Linked DNA regions of Pelodiscus sinensis. The protein of the gene in region 1 interacts with the protein of each later gene in a biochemical or structural test. Links are inferred from orthologs where the notes say so. Each region holds a gene or a part of one and is shown in the gene's direction. Other genes may lie near its edges.

The links.
Region 2: the proteins of PTPRB (region 1) and CNTN1 form a complex in vitro, tested with the Homo sapiens proteins (2 studies listed by BioGRID). The link is inferred for Pelodiscus sinensis from reciprocal best matches to the Homo sapiens genes PTPRB and CNTN1.

What each region holds. Positions count from the first base shown.
Region 1 is NC_134711.1:64,675,799-64,682,894, reverse strand, and holds the start of PTPRB (receptor-type tyrosine-protein phosphatase beta), read left to right. Parts: upstream 1-4,078; 5' UTR 4,079-4,176; coding exon 4,177-4,231; intron 4,232-5,435; coding exon 5,436-5,828; intron 5,829-7,096. Other genes in the region: PTPRR (receptor-type tyrosine-protein phosphatase R), read left to right, coding at 2,121-2,214. UniProt on the Homo sapiens protein: Plays an important role in blood vessel remodeling and angiogenesis. Not necessary for the initial formation of blood vessels, but is essential for their maintenance and remodeling. Can induce dephosphorylation of TEK/TIE2, CDH5/VE-cadherin and KDR/VEGFR-2.
Region 2 is NC_134711.1:52,062,102-52,069,402, forward strand, and holds the start of CNTN1 (contactin-1), read left to right. Parts: upstream 1-4,243; 5' UTR 4,244-4,296; intron 4,297-5,784; exon of another isoform or gene 5,785-5,921; intron 5,922-7,301. UniProt on the Homo sapiens protein: Contactins mediate cell surface interactions during nervous system development.

The sequences.
Region 1 (7,096 bases):
TCTTTGCAAATATTTCACACAGAAAAATGAGTCTCTTGAACTAGATAATTATACAGAACTGTAGTATCTCAGTGCCTCCCAAATCAAAAAGAACCAATAGTGATCTCTTTCTTCTACTGCAATCTGTAGGAGAGATGGCTTGATTAGTTGGGCTGTGTTACTCTGTGGTGTATGTGAGGCATATGGGCATTCTTTTCTGGGAGTGAGTTCCACAATCTAGGGCCAGCTCTTGTGAAAATTCTGTGTCCCAATTTCAAGCCTCCGCCCCACGACTGGAAAGCAGCTTCCTCATTCCAGTGGAATGCAGCTGTTGCAGGAGTTCATGGTCACTGAAAGAACAGGTGATCCCATAAGTATCTAGGGTCAGTTCCATGGAGTACTTAGAATATCAACCAGGAGACCTGGAAATGTACTCCATATTCATCAAGGAGCCAGTGCTGAGACAGAAGCCGTAGAATGATGTACTTATGGCAGTCTCTGTTGCTGAGCAGATGAACTGCTGCATTTTGTGTCAGCTAAAGATTTTTCAGGCTATGTGGCTTCATTACTAGGAATAATGGATAGCAATAATCAAGGTTGGAAGTCACAAATATGTGGCTCACGATGGCCAAGCCCAATACTGTTTAAGGAGTAGAGTCTTCTTGCCAGTTGCAGCTGGAAGTAAGCAGTTTTTGTCTCATGGCTATTTGGACATCCAGTAGCAATGAAGAAACTGAAAGGACCTCAAAATGGTAGGCCAACAGGAAGATCTTAAATAAGAGAAGCTACTTGTTGAATACATTGTGTTACAATAGGTACAATAGGTCTACCTATCAATTGTCTTTTTTTTCTGTTAGAAAAACCACAGATATTTAAAAAAATGTGTTAACCTGATAGTTTCTGTGGCCTAGCAAGCCTTGTATTTAAAAAGGCCAGATTCTACATCCGTGTGATGCAAGCCTCCCACTGAAATCACCTAATTCAATGAGGGTTGGCAAACGCAGTTTGAAGTGCAGGTATGAATCTTCCTTTCCCTGTGGGCCACATCCTTCCTTCCCAGACAGGCACACACATCTGCTCCAAGTAGCTGGCTTGATGCAAGCTTGGGAAGGGAGGCAAGGATGTCTCTGCAGTGATCAGGTTGCAGTTGTTTTTAACATTTTGGAGTTGCAATAGCACCTACTGTGTCTGGGTCCCAAATGTGTGAGGGGCCCTGGCCCATGTTTGTTATCTGAAAGACAATGCTAGTACTGCAGTACAGCCTCAGCCAGTATTCCATCTGGCACAGCATCTCCTCACTCACTTTCAACACTGGATAGTTTAGGTCCTACTGTGGGATTCCTGAAAGCCCCAGTGCTACCAGCTGAGCTATCATACAGCTATATTAGGTGTAAGTAGCTGATCCAAACTGACTGCACTGAGCACTTTTTTATGCTCAAGTTAAACTAAGTTGCATTGCTGGCGCAGAAATGAGTCACCGCTGTAAAATTTCTTCTCTGTCTGCTGTTTAGACCGGATGCATTGTAGGCGTTAGAAAGAGGACAGGAAGAGCTGGTCTCTGCACATGTGATCTAAGGGTCACCATAGGTTACATTTTTAGGATATGAAGAAGAATGAAGTCTGTGCACACTGGGCCAGATTCTCTTACCCTTACTCATGCTAAGTAGCACCTCATTCCTCCAACAACCCCAATAAAATCAATGGGGCTGCTCTGTGAGTCCAGAACTCAACTTGAATAAAGGGTGTAAGAATCTGCCACAAGTGACTAAGCTTTTTATGACATATCTAATCTTAGTCGTGCTTAAAATACAGCGTGTTCATTGCTTTTCGGGAGATTCCCCATAATTGCATTGGGTTTGAAATCTGGATTTTAACAGCTTACCTGCCAGCTAAATGTTTCCCTACAGCTCATACATCTGTTGTGTCAGGGTTGGATAGTCATGATGTAATAACAAGACAAATATCACTTGAAGAGCACTACTCAGGCCAAACTGCCATTTGCTCAGACAAACTCTCACTGAAATTAAAACTCAGAATAGACCTCAGGATTTGACCTCACGTGTTTTCTGGTTCTTAGCACGAGAGCAGATTTGTTTGATTTTTAAGAAATAAGATTTCATTCTATTGCACTTTCTTTTCAGAGGTGGAATGGTTCAGACCAGTGAACAATATGAATTTGTGCACCATGCACTGAGTCTGTATGAAAGTCGACTCGCTGAAGAAGCAGTCCAGTGAAACCACGAAGGGGGACCAGAATGTCAGTCTCTTGAGGTAATTTGTTTCATTACCTACCAGCAACTTCGTCAAGGAGTTTACTACAGTGGAGAGAGGTGCTTTGACGCCAACTTGTGAAAGGACTATGGATGGTTTGGCAAAACTATAAAGATAGCCAGACACTTACTGTATATGAATATATTGTAAGCATCCTGAAATGATTTTTAAAGAAGGTACTATACTGATGCTACATGTGGATTTCACGTATATATCTAAAAGGTGGATTTATTACTGTAATAATATCTGCTATACAGAACGTATGTATGTGCTACGGCTGCAGTCAGATGGAAATTGGAACTTCTTCAGAAGAAATGTTTTTCTAAGTGTATAAATGCTTTAACATTTGCCAACTCTGTCTTGTGAATGGACTGTCAGCTGTTAAACTGTACCTGTTAAGTGCTATTACCTATTATGTGGTGAGCTTATTTCTTGGCCACATAAAACTCTTGCTGCTAAAGTTGCAAGTGATTAATTATGGATTTAAGAAGAAAAGTCCTTTTGTTTTGGAAACTGTTCAAAAGCGGTTATCTTTTATATGGAAATATCTGTTCTTCATACTATTTAGCTATTTAATGCATATTTATAATAAGTCCTATAATGCAGTGACAGAGCACAACCTCTGTTATTCAATGTATATGTATGTAATTACTCTATACTGTTGATTGTACTCTATACTGTTAGAAACTGCTTCTGTTCCTGACCTGAATCCAGTGTATTTGTAAACTGTATGAGTCATTTTACTTTTAAAGGAAACTTTATAGCATATATTCAATGGTAAGGATTTTAAATATTTGCCCATCTTTCACTAAGAGTGGATTTTTTGAATATGTTATCTCCCTGTTGTATCACTTCTGTTAAGAGATGGATGCCTTTGGAAAGAGGAGCTGTTCTGTTACAGGAAGTTATACAAAAAAATGTTTTTATGAATGTTTCCTTATATTTCTGCAAAGATTTGTTCATTAAGAGAAATGTAAATCTAGCATAACTACTTACAGCAACTAGGATTAAATCAGTTTTTAATTCAGTGATGTTGACTTTGCTTCATACTGACAATAAACTACCCTTGATACAAAATAGTTAGTGCATCTGGAGGTTTATTGCCTACAGTAAGTAACCATTACCATTATCATGATACCCTGATAAGGCAAATATAGCCCAATCTGCTCTAGTTAATTCTATGCTGGCTTCTGGCCATTTGGAGGTCAAATCTTTGAGGCCTTTACCCAGCTTTTCATTAAGGCAAACTCTCACTGTATGTAGGCAACATGGATCAGACAATGTTGACGAAAAGTCAACATAATTTGATCCCATAGTGGGAGTGTACAATGAGAAGAACTCATAGATTAGTACTCCCACAATATTATAGTTTTCAGAACTCACAGAGGAGTTGGAAATGATATCTAATAATGTGATTTTGCTTGATGGACTCGCAACATATTCTAGAAACTGTGAATGGTGAAAAATTGATAGGCTAGTATGTATTTATTCATCACTAGCCAAACCACATTCAGCCATGGAATGTTTTATGAGTGGTCAGTTACATGAAATTACAATCTCTGTTCCTTATATTTTTAATCCAGCACTTTATTCAGATGTTGAAGCATGTTTTTTATTTGTGTGTGAGCGAGCACTGGTAGTTTCAAAATCTATCCCCTTTTTGCTTGGGTTTTTCCAAAATAAATCAGAGTCTGTAAACTCTGAAGAATCATATGAAAGGACAAACTGGTATGAAATTCCCCAAAACTATTGAATAGAAGGAAATGCTCGTCACTGACTTTTCCTCCTGTGAAGGCACATTTCCTTCCTAGCCTTCACTTCACTTATCTGAGGTGGTGATTTTGTGTGTGTGTGTGTGTGTGTGTGTTGCGTGTGTGTGTGTGTGGTTTTTTTTAAACAGAAGCATGGGGAGTTGTTAGCTGGAAAATGGATCCCTTACTTCATGTCCTGATTTTTACCTTCCTGGCCTTCAAGATCTCAGGTAAGCACATCGCCCGGTGTCTATCCTCCATTCCAGTTCCCATTGTGTCACTAACCAGGGCTCCTAAGGGTTGTTGAAACTTATTCAGTGCTGTGGAAATGGAGCCACTTCTCAGCCTGAGTTTATATAAGAGAGATGGAGGGGGAGGGCTGGGCCAACAAAGCCCGTACTGTTTAGATTTCTCTCCAAAGGAAAATAAACGGTCTCTCCTTGAATACCTTTTAAAAAATATCTTCAACTAGACAGTTCTGAGGCAGAATCCTGAGCTAGATTTCTTTGAAGAGAGATTCAGATTACTTAGTAAGGCTTTGTGAAACTTACCAAACCTAAAGCTTCTATGGGCACTTAGAACAGTTTTATGTCCTACGCCATAAAAAAGTGTGAATGAAGAAACAAAAGAAGTTACGTGTTTTGTTTTTAAATGATTTTGTTTATCGAGTGGAGCCTTAAGTTTTGATGAATTAACTGACTTGCAATAAAACGTGATCAATGAAATGAGAGTCAAATTGAGATTGCTAGTGAACCTTCCAATTCTGTTCTTAATAACAAATGGGCTTTTGGGGTTGGGGAAATTTGATTTCAATGAATGATTTTTTCTTCTCTTCATTTTATCATTGGCTCTATACATATAAACTGGGATAATAAAAGAATCAATCTGATCTATAGTGAGATAGTTACAAAGTAATGACTGGAGGAGTCAATGTATTTAGGTGTGTAAGATACACAGAGTTCATATCAGTCAAAAGTTCCCATCCTTTTTCACACAGCACACAGATGTTGTTCTGTCACCCTCCTCCACCAAATACTAAGATTTGTTTTAAAAAATCAATTTCCAGTTATGTACAGTGAATTTAATTTAAGGTGAGAGTAAGGAAGGCTAATGGATCTCTGTGTATTGGAAGAGGAGGGACAGGGTTTTCAGAAGTGAAGTGAAAGTCAATAACCCATATTTTAATTCAAGTTAGATTTCTTTTGTTTTTAAGTAGAAAGTCAGGGTTTGTTGCATTCTCTCTCTTCGCATTTCCCTGACCAAACAATTGTGATTTTGTGCCTTTTAAAATAATTTCTGCTGGTGCCAGTCATAAAAAGCTGAGATACACAGAAAGTGGGAAAGAAAAAAGGAGGATTATTTTGAAGTCATTGGGATTCATTTTTAAATGCCACATATGATTTGCTGCATTTTTATGGGTTTTTCATCTTCCAGGAGGGTTTCTGATTATCCATGTCCAGAAACAGCAATGCCTTTTTAGAGGCAAAACAGCGTTAGTGAGCAACTGCAATCTGACGGATCCAAACCAGCAGTGGATGTGGACAGACTATGAGAAACTTCTCCATGTTAAATCTGGCCAGTGTTTGGGCATCTCCAAGTCCTCTGCTGCATCATCCCGCAGCATCTTCATAGACTGCCCTCAGGCACCCAGCTGGACCTGCCACAAAAAGGAAGGCCTCCTCCAGGTGGCAAATAGCTCTCTCTTTCTCTCCAAACAAGGCCCGAAGGTAATGATCAAGATGGGTAAGAAATACCCTCATAGCTGGAAGCAAATAAGTATCGACGACAAAGGAAACTCTACCTATGAAAATCTGTGTCCACACAAAGGTGAGCTTCTCCTTTCAGGCAGTGTCTTGGTAATTATGGTAACAATCCTGTCTCTCTTGCACCCACTCTCACTTTAAGAAAAATTACATTTTCTCCTGGGAGCTTAAAAGATTGCTCAGAATCCAAAATCAGAGTACCTTAAAAAGAATAATTTTAAGACAGCCATGATACCTGACTTTCTAAAATTTAGTGGGTTGCTCTAGTTATCTGGTTGATATTTGGGGCCCAAATTTGTATGTATAGACTTAATCCCACCAGATTCTTGTGCTATTTGCTTCCCAAAAAGAGAAGAATATAATTTTAGTGCTGCTTTCAATACCAACATCAAACTCTCCAGATCCTCTTCCTCATCCACTTTATAGACATGCATATTTAAAAAAATATACCAAAAGGGGCACAAGTCATCTGAAAAATTGGATAGATGTAGTACTACTTCACTGATAACCTGAATGTTTGTTCCCAATGAACAAATAGCCTACATATTCCATTGCTCATGAAGTAGCATCACTATACCAATATGGGAAATAATCCTGGTAACAAATACAAAATTCACAGTGTAATGAACTGAATCCAAATCTTTGGAAATACTAATTTTAAGATGCATTTTCCTGTGTGTTTACCTTCGTACATGGTAAGTATTTATATACAGTTGTAGAAGCTATTTTATGTTTAGCTAGAAGCCATCTTGTATATCAGAAACCATTTCAGCTTTTCTCTCAAGCACGTAGACCAGAGTGAACTTTCTGTCACCCCGTGAGAAGAGGCCTACAGGACGGGCTATTGGTATGTGTTAATTGGGCTGGTTGGGACAGGAGATGTACTCCCTCGTACCTGTACGCCATCTTGTTGATAAGGCTTTGTTTTTCCAAATTTAATTGAGGATTTCTGTAATTGGATGCCCTGACGTCAGACTGTTTGGCTAAGGGTATAAAGATACTAGGATTGATTGTATTAGCAGCCTTACTGGGCCCGGCTCTGCTGTGACCACGTTTGGCTCATGCTGTGCTTTATTAATTAATAAAGCTGTTTGTTAGCTGCCTAAACACAGAGGAGCGTGTTTTTGCTTCGACACAGTTATAACATAAAATGTGGCTAGAAAGGATCTGAGTGTTGTTTAATAATATGTTCACAACTCTTGTTTTGGGGTCTGTTAAAGTATGTCTACACTGCGGCACTATTTTGGGATACTACCAGTATCCTCAAATAGCGTTTTCTGCGTCTTGACAGCACGTCCATTACTTCAAAATGTAATCGAAATAACGGGCGCG
Region 2 (7,301 bases), about 13 Mb from region 1:
TGACGTTTCTAAGTAGGATTGAAGATCCAAGATAAAATGGCCTTTGAACCCAGCACATGGCTGCACTGGCCCTGATCCTTGCTTTGCTGGAGGATCATTTTGCATTACTCAGTCACGGCCAACCATAGGTGGATCATCCCTTCACTGAACACACCTGTTGTCAGTGCAGAGGAGCAGGGCCAGGGAAATAAGGGTATGGATGTGCCACAGCAATGTTCAGCATCACACCTTCGGGGCCATGGAGAAATGGCATGAGAGCAGTTGTCAGGCTGTATTAATTTCTGACAATTAGATAGCCTAAGATCAGTCACTTTCGCATCCCCTTCTGAATCAGACTGTGCATTCCTCGGCTGTAGTCTGGATGGTCTCCTTCTCTCTATTTCTTGCTTCAATTTTATTTTAAATTACAGAATGTCTTCCCTGGGAAACGTATTCAGGAACTCTTCCTATCATAGTTCTGTCTGTTGTAGCACTTATTTGTTATTTATAGGAAACAATCTCTTTAAATGTACACCAACAGGACAAAATGCCAGACCCTAAGAATTTCTGTAAAAAGTTTACATTGTTCTCAGAGAGTAATCATCTGGAATTCTTATACCTAATTACACAACTTTGAATTTAGGCTTTGGTGTGAATAATTTCAGCTTTTAAAACCAGTCACGTGACAGAATTCTGGAATCCCCAGATGCCTATGGGGCACTGTCAGCTGACGGTCAGGGCAGTGTGTGTGTGTGTGTGTGTGTGTGTGTGTGTGTGTGTTTCCGAGAAAAGGTTTAACGTCCGTGTCTTTACTGCTAGGACCGGGGTCCCATCGCAGAGGGTGGCCAGCAGGCCAACAGACGCCCCGTTATATAGGAAGAGCTTATTACACCTTAGATTTTAGCTGCTAGAACACAAAGTTCCTTCGCAGCGGGCAGCCTGGGAAAGGCTGAAAAGGTGCCCCAACGGATCTTGTCACCTGGGAGTGACACAGATCCAAATGCCCAAGCTCTCCCTATGTCTGTCCCTTTATGACCGGCTGAAGTTCTTTTAAATTGTGCTTGGTTCTATTACAGCAACTGAAGGAGTCAGGTTAAAGCTTAAACAGTTACAGGTTTATTAAAAGACTTATAAAAGCATATGGTTACAATGGCTATTGCTCTATTTCATAATTATTAGCAAAATACAGATCTTAAAATGGTTACAGGAAAAAGGTAAAGATAGAAAATAGAAATAATGGTACCAAATGACAGCTTAATCTTTAAAGAGCTCTAACACTATGTATATATATACTTAAACAAAGGACCACATCCAGGTACAATTTTTACCCCTTTCTGTGCCTCTCGACTCCAGCGTGTCAGGCCAGGGCCAGTCTCTCAATTCCTAGGAAAGACGAATACGAGGTGGGCGTCCCCTTGGAACCTCGGGAGATCAAACACCTAACCCAACCAGCAGATAGATGGTAGATTGACACTCAGAGAAAATGCGCTGCTGGACCCATCTTTATACCCCTGGGGGCCCGTATCCTCTTTCTTATCTAAGATGCCGAATTGTACTGGTCCATTTTGTGGCGCCAGTTCTTACAAGCAAGTTTCAAGTTAATTTACACTTGCAAGAGAGATAACTAAATTGTGAATACTAGACATTTTTTTACTGGGCGAGAGATTCCTCCCCCCCGCGGGCGGCTGAGTGTTCGTATCAGTATGGGTTTGAGTCAAGGGCACTCCTTGGCAGCCTCTTGGTTAGCAATTGGCATATCTCTGTTTACAGCCATTCACGGTCACAGCAGCCTGGGCCTTCTGCTCTGTGTGCCCTGGATGCTCCAGGCAAGCAAAAATGGATGTTACAAGGGGGGTTCCTGTCTGGCTAGAGGCACTGAAGAAATAAACAAACATAAAGATAAACTATTAGTTAACCTTTTCTGTGAAGCTTCAGTTAAAATAGTAAGCAGCCAGTAAGTAAGTACTGGTTCCTGCAACATTACTTATGGGAGTAGTTCCTTTGACTTTTTATGAGATGGGAGTGCTCATGTCTGTAAGGGTTTACAAGGTTACTACCTATATTTTAGTTAGCATGGAAGTGATTTAAAATGACCAAATATCATTAGAAAATTCTGAAATTTAGTTGCTTAGCAGCAGATTTTGCAGGAGGCATAATAATTTTATTTGTGAGGCATTTCAACAGTGGGCTCATTCCATCCGTTCCTGCTCTATCCAAAGTGTTGATGACTTTTAGGGAGTTTTAGTTGTCCATGGCTTTCAGACTAAAATGTGGTAATGTTGCACAAGGATTTCATTGTAGCTGCAAAGCATGAACATCCAAAATATTTCTAATGCTATTATATAATGAATGATTGTTTTTCCATGGTAAGGATATTTGTTTTTTCATAGACTGTGGCATTTAATAGCTGTTGTATAAACAGTAGCATTTGCAACTTGAGTTCTCTCTACACATCTTCCCTGTCTCACCTCCAATGGCCTAGAGGCATTTTGACAAAACATTTCTGAGAAAACTGCTGGGCCTGATGCATTATCTCTGGTTATCCAGATGAAGTTCCTTCAGCTCAGTTTCCCAGGTCACCTAACTTATCTGATCAAGATTTTCTGCCAGAAATCCCAATAAAATGCCTATCAGCATATAAAGTGCATGTATTCTCTTTGATATCAGAACAATCTCCTGCTAATGTTCAATTAACTTATCAAAAACTTCCAAGGGTTTCACACTGGCATTGTGTATGTTTTCAGGGGTATGCAGGAAAGGGAGACAAAGAGGATATTTGTCAGGCCCGGTCTACACTGCAGATTTGAGTCAATGGAGGGCAGCTTATGTCAACCTAATTGTATAAGCATCTAAACCAAAACGCAGTTTCCATCAATGTAACTCACCCACTATGCTGACTTAATAACTCTACATCCATGAGAGGCAGTGTTTTGTTCCATATAGCTGGGTTGATGCAGTGTCAGGGTGGACGCTGTATTATTTACATTGACTTTAGTGGTCTCCAGGAGCTCCTAGAATCATAAAACCATAGGGTTGAAAGTGACCTCAGGAGGTCATTGAGTCCAACTCCTTGCTAAAAGCAGGACCTATCCCAATGAAATCACCCAGGCAGGGCTTTGTTAAGCCAGGATTTAAAAAACCACTAGAGATGGAGATCCCACCATCTCCCCAGGTAACCCATTCATTCCAGTGTTTCTCCACCCTCCTAGTGAGATGTCCCATAATGGCCCATCATAGCAAATGTCTAGCTGACCATGAAGGCTCTACACTGCAAACATGCTCCTGGCTGAAGAATACAGAGGTATTGGTTCTTCCGGGTCTGTGGGGAGAAGAGGCCATGCAGGCACAGCTCTGATACTGCTGTAGAAATGTTGACATCTATGAGCATATTGCTCAGAGCATGGGGAAGTAGGGCTATGAGAGGGAAATACAGCAGTGCTGTGTGAAAATCAAGGAGCTGCAGCAAGCATAACAGAAGTCAGGAGTCAAACAGTTGCTTTGGTGCAGAGCCATAGACCTGATGTTTTTATTCGGAGCTGCATACCATCCTCAGCACCTTGTACTGAACCCTGAGGATGAGGTGCTGGATGCAGAAGTGGAGGAGGGCAGGGGGGATCCAGTGTCACTGCAATCCAGGATCACTTTTTTGATTCCTGAATACTTGAGCGACTACCAGCAGTCCAGCACTGGTGCAGGTGGAAGGAATCTCTGGTAAATATGCTGTTTATTTTGAAATGGCAAGGGTACATCTGTTCATTTATTCTTTTTTAATCATGCTGCAAAGGGATAGTGAAATAATCAATAGAGTATTGCTATTTGCTTCTCAAGATTTAGACAGAGGGAACCTGGCAGAGATGTTTGTTTATGTGCAACAGGATGGTCTGTGAATGCTGGAGGGGAATCAGTAATCCTTTGCCAAAGGTTTCTGGAGAGGACTGCCTTATTTCTTCCGCTGTGGTAAGACACTTTCCTACACCCTTCAGAAATTACTTCAGCAGGCATCATTGCAATATGCAGATTACCACAGTATGTTCCTGGTCCGCAGCCAGATGCGTGCAGGAGTTGTTCCATTTTAGCCTCAGCAATCCTCAGGAGTGAGATATTAGCTAACGTCATCACTGTCTGTGGAAAATGGTGCCAGTATTCAGTTAGTATTCTGTTCAATTACCATGTCTTTGTATATTCTTGCCTGTGAGTTCCCCCCCCTTTATTGTCTGAGGTTCCCCACCCTCAGACACAAGTTACAAGCACTCACATGTCTGCCTGGGATTCATTGCACACAACAGCATTCCCAGCCATGATGAGTGCTCTATCGAGGTGAGTGATTGTACTCCCAAGAGTACCCCTGTCTATTGTTTCTTTTGCAGCTGACAATGTGTCTTTGAGGGTCTCTCCAAGTATGCCACTAGAGTGGCTCAGCGAGAGAAAGAGGAGAAAGAACAGAACAGGAGAAGACATGTTACAGGAAATCCTACAAGCCTCTGGTGCTTCACAGACAGAGCAGAGGGCTTGGAGAATGGCACACAAGGACAGAATGGACAGGAGAAACAGGAAACAAGAGATGATACCACTTGTCAGGGAGCAAATAGACATACTGCAGTTTCTGGTTGACCTTTAGATGCAACAGATCTGTGCTTGCTTCCCCCTGCAGCCCATAGTGAACTTAATTCTGGCACCTCCCCCTACCATGCGGTGTCTAGGGCCAGTGTAATACCCCTAACCATCCATTCCCAGGTACAGTATAGATCGGGGTGGAGCAATAATTTTTGGTGGGAGGCCACTCCAAGATTTTGGTAAGTGGTCAAGAGCCGCACTTCTGTGGAGAGGGTGCAGGTCCTGGGACATTGGTTGGGTACAGAAGGGAGATTGGGGTAGGAGACGGAGGTTCAGGAGAGGCTGTGAGGTCTGAGAGGGAGTAGGTGAAGGAGGGGGTTGTGATCTGGGGCAGAGGATTGGGGTGCAGGGTCAAGGAGGGGGATTTGACCTGGAGGAGGGGTACAGGAGGGGGTGCAGGCTCCATGTGCCACTCTGCATGGGGTACCCCTGGCGGAGGGTGGAGGGAGACTTCACACACTGCCCCTACCCCCAGGCCAATCATTGCATTGGTTTCTGGCCAATGGGAGCTACAATGACTGGCCCAGGGGTGAGGGCAGTGCATAAAATCTCGCCTCCTCCACCTCCGTGTCAGCCGGTGGCCGGGGTAGTGTGTGGTCTGTGAGCCCTATGATACCTGAGTCTTCAACTGCTAGGACAGAGTCCCTTCACAGCGGGCAGCCAGAAGAGGCTGACAGGTGCCCCAAAGTTTTACACCCGAGTCTTTGGCTGCTAGGACAGGGTCCCTTTGCAGCGGGCAGCCAGGAGAGGTTGACTGGTGCCCCAGGTTGGTGCAGAGAGAGTTTATTACACCTGAGTTTTTAGCTGCTAGGACAAAAGTCCCTTCGCAGCAGGCAGCCAGGAGAGGCTGATGGGTGCCCCAAGGGTCTGCCCTGTGGAGGCGGCAGAACCCCAATGCCCAGCTCTTACTGCGTCTACCGGCTAGTTCTTTTGATCGTGTCTGGTTCTGATACAGCAACAGAAGGAGTCAGGTTAAAGCTTAAACAGTTACAGGTTTATTAAAGAGACTTATAAGCATACGGTTACAGTGACTATTGTTCTACTTCTTAACTGCTAGCAAATACAGATCTTAAAATGGTTGCAAAGGAAAAGGAAGATAAAATAACGGTACCAAGTGACAGCTTAATCTTTAAAGAACTCTATTCTATGCATGCACTAAAACAAAAGGACACATAAAGATACAATTTTTACCCCCTTCTGCATCTCTCGATTCCAGCGTGTCAGGCCAGGATTGGTCACTCAATTCCTCAGAAAGATGAATACGAGGATGGGCATCCCCGTGTGGACCTTGGGAGACAATAACATAACCCGACCAGCAGGTAGATGGTAGATTGATGCTCAGAGTGAGTGTGCTGCTGGGCCCATCTTTATACCCGTGGGGTCACGTATTCTCTTTCTTATCTATGGTGCCAAATTGTGCTGGTTCGTCTTTGCGACGCCAGTTCTTACAAGGGAGTTGTGAACTTAATTTACACTTGTAAGAGAGATAACTAAATTGGGAGTACTGGACATTCTTTACTCAGCAAAATGCAGGACAATGTAGCACTTTAAAGACTAACAAGATGATTTATTAGATGATGAGCTTTCGTGGGCCAGACCCACTTCCTCAGATCAAATAGTGGAAGAAAGTAGTCACAACCATATATACCAAAGGATACAATTTAAAAAAAATGAACAAATATGAAAAGGACAAATCACATTGCAGAACAGAAGGGGGATGCGGGGGGGTGGGAAGGGGGAGGAAAGAAGGTAAGTGTCTGTGAATTGCTGATATTAAAGGTAGGGAGAGTGGGATGTTTGTGAGTTAATGGTATTACAGGTGATAATTGGGGAAACTGTCTTGGTAATGGGTGAGAAAGTTCAAAGACTTGTTAAGTCCTTGTTGGTAAGTGTCGAATTTTAACATGAATGACAGTTCAGAGGATTCCCTTTCAAGTGCAGATGTAAAAGGTCTTTGTAGCAGAATGCAGGTGGCTAAGTCACCTGCATTCTGCTACAAAGACCTTTTACATCTGCACTTGAAAGGGAATCCTCTGAACTGTCATTCATGTTAAAATTCGACACTTACCAACAAGGACTTAACAAGTCTTTGAACTTTCTCACCCATTACCAAGACAGTTTCCCCAATTATCACCTGTAATACCATTAACTCACAAACATCCCACTCTCCCTACCTTTAATATCAGCAATTCACAGACACTTACCTTCCTTCCTCCCCCTTCCCACCCCCCCGCATCCCCCTTCTGTTCTGCAATGTGATTTGTCCTTTTCATATTTGTTCATTTTTTTTAAATTGTATCCTTTGGTATATATGGTTGTGACTACTTTCTTCCACTATTTGATCTGAGGAAGTGGGTCTGGCCCACGAAAGCTCATCATCTAATAAACCATCTTGTTAGTCTTTAAAGTGCTACATTGTCCTGCATTTTGCTTCAACTACCCCAGACTAACACGGCTACATTTCTATCACTTTACTCAGCAAGAGATTCCTCTCCCGGGATGGTTGTGTGCTTGTATCAACATAGGTGCCAACCAAGGGCAGTTTCTGCAGCCTCTTGGTCAGTGATTGGCTTGTGTTATCTGTGTTTACAGTTATCTCTCTTATCTGTGTTTACAGTTATCCAGGGTCACAGCAGCCAGCATATTTGGGCCTCTGTCAAGGTATCAAAGACTATGCTGATTTTATTGCTCTCTGTGTCCTGTGTGCT